2 linked regions of the Mus musculus genome follow. The protein of the gene in region 1 interacts with the protein of each later gene in a pairwise test. Links are inferred from orthologs where the notes say so. Each region holds a gene or a part of one and is shown in the gene's direction. Other genes may lie near its edges.

Region 1 (3,747 bases):
CTTCTGTCTGATCGCTCCTACTTTCTGTTCAGATCGGAATCCAGCCTCGCAATATCAGTAGGAGTCCACTCAAGTGCTCATTAAGTGGAAAGTGGTTGATGATCTATTATAGCTCTCAGGTGCAGGCTGAGAAACATGACCAAACCAAAGTTTTGGAGCCTATCTTTAGCCCAAGGGTGAAGAAATGTAACATACAACCTCACGTGCGGCCAAAGGGATCTGCCAAACAGTAATGAAGACCTCCTGACAGATGCAGGAGCTGTGGGATGTGAGCAAGCGGGAATTCAAATCCCAATCGCAAAACCCAGCTCACTTTATAATTTTTAAGTGCTGACCTCCCTCCGTGATAAATCATGGTGGAGGCGACAGACTCCAAAGATATATAGCATTCATTACCTTTGCCCTCTGACTTAGTAGTGGAAACTCACCAGTTTCATATCGGACTTTTGGTTGTTCAGTACCAGTCTCTTCACTTCTAAAGACAGGGAAGGATCTTCCGGTTTAATCTCTATAGCCCAGAGCATCGCGGGACTTGGAGTCTTCACTCCTTAAGCATTTTCCAGAGCCTCACGGGAAATGTAGTTTTACTGCAGGTATCATGGGCACTGTGGGCGTCTTTCCTTTTCCTCCCTTTTCTCTCTAATCACCTCCTTCCGTCCGCTCAAATTCATCGCCGCCGCCAATTCATCCTTCCTTTCCATCCCAGCATGATATCATGTCCCTCATCTGGGTCTAGCATCCATGGTATTCTGGGATGTGTAGTCCGCACGATTTCAGCTCCCAGCTCCCCTCCTCCCTGTGGGAAGGCGTATGGGCGCAGTGCCTGCTGGAAGCTGTAGTTCCCTAGGGCCTCAGACCCTCAACTCTGCACTTTTCCTCTAGGGAACCGGAAACTACAACTCCCAGGGATGCCCAGCGGCAGCAGGTGGGAGCGGGGCTGTTGCTATCAATATGGCGGTTGTCAGCCAGACAAAGACAGTCAGTCTGATGTGATTGAGACAAGGGAGGTTTTCAGGGGGAGACTGGGAGATAGGGGCCTCCCCTCCCCCCTAGGCTCTTCCTGCGCGGGCCTGGAGCCCTCCTCAGCCCCTCCCGCAGGGCGCCCCGCGGTGAAGATCCCCTCCCCCTCCCGCCTTCCTCCTCCCTCCCTCAGCCTTGCACTGGGACGCTGGGGAGGGGGCTGAGCAGGGTGCAGAGAACTCTCAGCTGGATTTCCAAGGTGAGTGGGGTCGTTTGCAAGCTGGACTGCCTCAAGTCTCTTTTCCTCACTTCTCTCATTACTTTAAGGAAAAAAAAATGTCGAGATGTTTGGGGGGGAGAGAAAGTGAGTAGGCGCCACAGATGGGTCTCTGGAGTAGCCAGGTTGAGCATAGGGGAGCAAGTAGGGGTACTTCCGAGGGGGCGGCCGTGCGCGGGCTGTGGGGTGGGGCAGTTTGTGAGGGGCGGGCGTGGAGAGGCGTCGATGGCTTCCCAACTTCTCTCTGGTCTTCAGGACCGGCGGAAGGTTTGAATCCTGGAGTTGGGGGGTCTTCCTGCTTGGGAGTTTGAGAAACTGTAAGGTGGTTTCGAGGTGTGCTGGTTTGTTTGGGGAGTGTCTCGCTGTGTTTTAAACTGTGACGTGTACTTGGGTGCTGCGATCGTCTTGAAGGAATGTCTGTAGATGGTAAGTTAGATGGCTGGAGTCAGAGATAAGCGGCCTGGGCTTGGGAAGCACGCAGGAGTCCCGGGCTGGACTTTTGGTCCAAGGATCTTGTGCAGGGTTTGGGGGGGCTCAGTAACTCGTTAGTGTCTGGGCGCCCAGCTCACACTCGGTGCCCTACTCTGGGCCAGTCTCCACCCCAAACTCCCGGCAGGACTATATAGATGATGTGATGTGGAGATGCATCTTTGCCTCAAGTCGGCAGCTAAAGGTGGGAAAGGAAAAGTGTCTCTTAGTATTTTATTCCGGAACCGTGTTTGGGTTACACTATTGGGGCTACTTTGAAAGGAGTCCTCCACCCACCTTCACCCCGAAACAGTAAGTAGAGGTATCTTGTCATCTTCATGCTCAGTAGCTTGCCAGTTATTTAAAATTCGGGAACGTGGGGCTGGGAATCTCGAGTGCTAAATGCCATCCGCATCGCTGTCTTCTAATGAGACAGAACGTCTGCTCTGTATCCTGAGGTAGATAAGGCGACTTATTTTCGTAGTTGAAAAAACTGTTGGAAATTTTTTGCGGAGAAGAGGGTTGACTGTGCGCTGAAAGGCGCTGTGGTCTTTTTTTGTTTTTTGTTTTTTGTTTTTTGTTGTTTGTTTTGTTTTTTCTTCTACCCCACCCTGTTCTGTGTCACAAATGCTTGAAAACTGGTATGGAAGAGTGAGGAAGCATTGGGTGAGTGAAGCAAAGAATGCACTTAGCAGTAAAGATACACGCTTCGTAAAGTTGAATGATAAAAGTGATTGCTATTTTTATTTTTGTCTGAAGCTTAAAAAAACCCTCGTCTGTTATATAGGGTATAGTCACGTGCCCCTTTTTCTGGGGACCTGCAGATAATAGAAATCTTTGCCTTCTCTTTCCTATCTTTCCTTAGCTTCCTCTCTCCCCCACCCCCTTCCTTCCTTCCTTCCTTCCTTCCTTCCTTCCTTCCTTGGCACAGAACATTTCTCTTCCCGATGGACATAATACCTCCTGTACTTTTTTGCTTAGTTTGTGCTAATATGGGCTGTGCTTTTTGTGGTTTCACTATAAAATGCATCGTTAAGTGAAAAGGACCCGAATTTGTTGTTATTTTGCATTTATGCCACAAGTCATTATCACATCAGGTTTGCAGTGCTTTGCATTAAACTTATTAAAATTGCACGGCTAAGTTGCTGGATCTGGTTGTATTATGCTTATAAGTCAAGTTTGGGAAATTTTATTTTATTTTTCCATTTTCAATTAGGGTTGGAATGAAACATCTCTTGTTTCTCACAGTCTTGAATATTTAATGACATTACACCAGGAGAATTTAAGATCATACATTTTGTACTCCCTCAGTCCAAAATACATCTTCTTCAATCACTCTCTGTGATAATTTTGTGATATCATAGACTTTTAAATCACTAAAAGAATAATTGGCATTATTTCTATTTTGACTTGAGAATTTCATGTATTATGTGTTTGGTCAAGAATGTGTTAGTTCTTGAGTTCTTCTGTTAGCTATGGGCTTTTAGATTCCATAGCATCACACTGGGATTTATGGTAGTTTTAGTCTTTGATTTGAAATTTCTGCTGTTGATCATTCCCACAGATAAGGGGACTGTGTTTGCATGAAGTTGAGTGTTAAGTATGTGAATGGACCTAAATATAATTTTGTACACAGTGTGCTGTTCCAAGCTGAGCCTATGGTTTGTTGAAGACCAGGATTTTCAGAATTACTTGTTTGAGGCTTTATCTTAACCTGAAACATTATTTTTCAAAAACTGGAAGAAAATTCCATGTAACAACAAAATAGTTGTTTACTTGTAGTTTTCCAAAATGTATTCTAGTAGATATTGAATTTTTACATGTTTAATAATCATTTTAGATATGACAAACTAAAATGTTCCAACCTAGAAAAATGAGTGTTTTTCATCTACCCTTACCTTGAATCTTCTTCTTGTTTATTTTCATCAATGGAATTGTGAAGTTATTTATGGGAAAAACATTCGTTAAACTTTTTCTGACTAGTAGTCTGGAAATAATGGCTCCATGTACACTGAATCTTCCTTATATTCACTGGGCTGATT
Region 2 (3,747 bases), on another chromosome or scaffold:
CACACTTTTAATTGCAGCACTCAGGAGGAAGAGGAAAATGGATCTCTGAGTTTGAGGCCAGCTTGGTCTACAGAGAGAAGTCTAGGGCAGTTAGGGCTACATAGGGAAACCATCTCCAAAAACCCAAATAAATAAAATAACTATCAAGAGAAAAACCTATACTTTCTCAATTAGATGCTAGATATAAAATGGGATATGGCAGCATAAAATGGTCATTTTGGAAAGGATGAAGAAATGGCCAAAGGGTACAGAAAAACCTACAAGGCTTGATTAAAAAAGAAAAAAAAAAAAAAAAAAAAAAAAAAAAAAGCACAATGCCAGGCAGTGCATCTTTAATCCCAGCACTTGGGAGGCAGAGGCAGGTGGATTTCTGAGTTCGAGGCCAGCCTGGTCTACAGAGTGAGTTCCAGGACAGCCAGGGCTACACAGAGAAACCCTGTCTCAAAAAATCAAAACCAAAACAAACAAACAAACAAACAAAACCAAACAATGCACAAAGTCAAAGTGGAATCTAATGTTCAATTACCTTTCTCCTTTCTGGCGCTTTAAGTTTCCTTTATATTCATCCCATGTACTCTTGTCTGCAAGATCACCAGATACAAAATCTTGAAGGTCTGGTCCATTATGCAAAAATTCCTTTTTCTTATCTGGCAAAGAACTTAATGCTCTAACCGTGAACGCATATCTTCCAAATATCTACAAAAAGGGTTCAGTACAACATTCACTCAGTAGACTCTGAAATAATTTAGTTTTAACCCATTATAATACCAAAGCTAAAGAAATTGATTCAGAAATTATGTAAAACGATTTAAGAGCTCAAACTACGTAGATCAGAACCTGAAAAAGACTCAAGGTGAAAGAACCGTAAGTCACGGCGGCTCAAACACGTAATGCAGCTCTCAGAGGAGGCAGAGTGAGGAGTCGTCTTTGGTCTAAGAATTTAGTTTCAGGCCAGCCTAGATTACAGAGACCCTGATGCACGCTCAGCCATGACAAATGGGGGAAAAAAGTGGGACGCAGATCAAAGTTAACCGCTAAATATAGGTTAGAAAACCTTAGTGGGTGACTTAACATGCCACGTTTTCATGTCTTCTATTCCTAAAACAGGTACTAAAATATGTTGTCAACAAGTTTGCAATAATTAAGATATGCCACAGCTGTCGGGGCTTTTAAAAAAAGGATATCTGGAACAATTTCCCTAGTTTTGAACTTAGGATAAGCAATGGCGTTCCCGCCGCTCACCCGGGACCCCAGGCTGCGAGCTGTATCCCAGCAGCGTAGAGCCATCCCCCTCTTTTAGGTCTCAGGAGTGTCAAGGGATCGAGGGAACAGCACCCCCGGCACCGGACGCGTCCAACAACTCGTCGCTTGAGTCATGACGCGATACGTCGTCGCCGACCGGCGCGACTCGACTAGCTCGGCAATCGAGTAGTTCCGCCTTAAAGCCGTCGCTCGGGTCGTGACGCGACACGCAGGGCCCTGACGGATTACAAGAACGTGATGACGAAAGACGTTCTCTCTTTGCCCCATCTACTGCGAGGTGAGGAGCTTAGGGACCGGGTGCCCCGGGAATCTGAACCCATCCTCTGTTTGGGGACCCCGGCGGCATGGAGCCGATGCCCCAAGGCTTTGTCCCGACTGTCCCCCAGCACGACGTGCGTCCTTGGGACTTGGTGGCGCGAGCTGGAAGTGGCGTTCGGGCTTTCAGGCCCATCTCGGTCGTAGCCCTTCCGCCATGGCGCACCGAGCCGGGCTTCCTTACTCTTCTCCGGGGCCCCCGGTCCAGTCCTTGTCCCGGACACACCTGGGTCCTTGTTGCCGGCTTTCGTAGCTGGCGATTCCCGTTGGGAGCGGAACGCTGCCGGGTCTCGGGTGTAGAGCGTCCCCCGCCCCAGCCGTCTCACCCGGGTGTCTGTGTTTCAGGATGAAGACCATTCTCAGCAATCAGACTGTGGACATTCCAGAGAATGGTGAGTAGATGGCTCCCCGCCGGCCGCTGACGGCTTTCCTGCATGCTCTAAACCCCGGCCTATGGTCTCACCAGTTCACTTTCTCGTTTAGTCGAAATCACTCTGAAGGGGCGCACAGTCATTGTGAAGGGCCCCAGGGGGACTCTGCGGAGGGACTTCAATCACATCAACGTGGAGCTGAGTCTTCTTGGGAAGAAGAAGAAAAGGGTAAGAACTTGTGTCTTCCGATGCTTCGGGTGCTTGCTTGTAACAAAACCCGGTAACCGATGTTAATCCCCCACCCCATGCGTGGCCGAGTGGGTTACTCGGACTCAGTTCTTTTATGAGTGAACTTGGGTGTGTGTGTGTCGTCCCTCTGGTGTCCTGTGCGTGTGACATACGGTGCATTTGTACATGGCTTTGCGTGCTAGTACTCGCCAGCTAAAAGTGCTGTGTTTTAATTCTAAAGTTGTTGTGTTTCAGCTCCGGGTTGACAAATGGTGGGGTAACAGAAAGGAACTGGCCACCGTCAGGACCATCTGCAGTCATGTTCAGAACATGATCAAGGGTGTCACGCTGGTAAGTCAGCCCTCCACTCTGCCCTTTAACCCTTTGGAAGAGGTTCCTTGGGTGTGTATAAATGTCTAGGGCCAGGATGGACTGTACTTCTACAAAGGAGGCACTTTCAGATATTGGGGGTGGGTTAGCACAGATCAGACCCAGGAATTTGCTGGGCAGGCTCCTTTACTTCTGTTTCAGGGGTTTTGTTTGTTGGTAGATACATATAGTGGAGATTGCTGGCTGGTATGTTTGGGACTCAATGGATAGAAAAGACAGCCAGAGTTATACTCTGTCTCAAAAAAACAAACAAAAAGATCTGACTTGTGCATCTCTGAAGTTACTGTTCTAGATCCTTTCTCCCAAAACAGTTAATGCTGAAGAGGTGTTGTTTTATAAACACAAGCTGTACTTTGTATACCTATTGGATCGTGTTACCCTGTTGCTCCTGGGGAGGACTGGGCCTTTTGTTTAGTCTGGAGTCACTTATTATCTGGTGGTGTCTGTAGTAACTCCACAGATGCCTAATGCCAAAAATGAGGATCTTATGCCCTCAAAGGATGAGATAGTAAAAGAAAGCTTCCTCCTGGAGCTTTGGGAAGATGTTGCAACTTGCATATGGTGGGTAGAGTGCGTGTGTTAAATTTCCACGACATGACAAAAGCACCTTAGGGCATTTAGAGCTGACTCTAAATTCAGCCTGGGGAAACTGAAGAAGAGGAATCTCAAAATCTAGGCCAGCTGAACCGAAAACTTTGAGTTTGTTCAGGATGGCTCACAGTTGCTTGTTTGATGCAGGGCTTCCGATACAAGATGCGGTCTGTGTACGCTCACTTCCCCATCAACGTCGTCATCCAGGAGAATGGCTCTTTGGTTGAAATCCGAAATTTCTTGGGTGAAAAATACATCCGCAGGGTTCGGATGAGGACAGGTGTGTGTGGGCCTTGAGGGATGATGGGAACTTGCTACAGTTCTTTGTCCTTGGGTCTGGATGGAGCCTTGGTGTTCGGGTGTGGTGAAGACTGTTGGGTGGTCCTGAGCTTGAGGTTTTCCTGAAGAGGGAGTATGCTGAAATAGTTGTAGGATGCATCAGCCTTTTGTGGGATCTGGGAGTCACATTTGTCATCTGAGATGACAGGAGGTTCAATTCCAACCCTAAAGTCTTAGAGAACTTGATTGGTTGCTTGGGGTTTTAAATGGAGTTGTATTGGTGAGATGTCTCTCCTGTTAACGCTGTTGA

What was found. The genes of interacting proteins can lie anywhere in the genome.
Region 2: the proteins of Hmbox1 (region 1) and Rpl9 interact in binary tests that used the Homo sapiens proteins (3 or more experiments, as listed by UniProt). The two-hybrid records come from large-scale screens. The link is inferred for Mus musculus from reciprocal best matches to the Homo sapiens genes HMBOX1 and RPL9.

What each region holds. Positions count from the first base shown.
Region 1 is NC_000080.6:64,947,049-64,950,795, reverse strand, and holds the start of Hmbox1 (homeobox-containing protein 1), read left to right. Parts: upstream 1-938; 5' UTR 939-1,219; intron 1,220-3,747. Other genes in the region: Ints9 (integrator complex subunit 9), read right to left, coding at 429-437. UniProt on the Homo sapiens protein: Binds directly to 5'-TTAGGG-3' repeats in telomeric DNA. Associates with the telomerase complex at sites of active telomere processing and positively regulates telomere elongation.
Region 2 is NC_000071.6:65,389,169-65,392,915, reverse strand, and holds the start of Rpl9 (60S ribosomal protein L9), read left to right. Parts: upstream 1-1,484; 5' UTR 1,485-1,540; intron 1,541-1,923; 5' UTR 1,924-1,924; coding exon 1,925-1,970; intron 1,971-2,061; coding exon 2,062-2,177; intron 2,178-2,432; coding exon 2,433-2,528; intron 2,529-3,305; coding exon 3,306-3,438; intron 3,439-3,747. Other genes in the region: Lias (lipoyl synthase, mitochondrial isoform 1 precursor), read right to left, coding at 527-696, 1,243-1,287.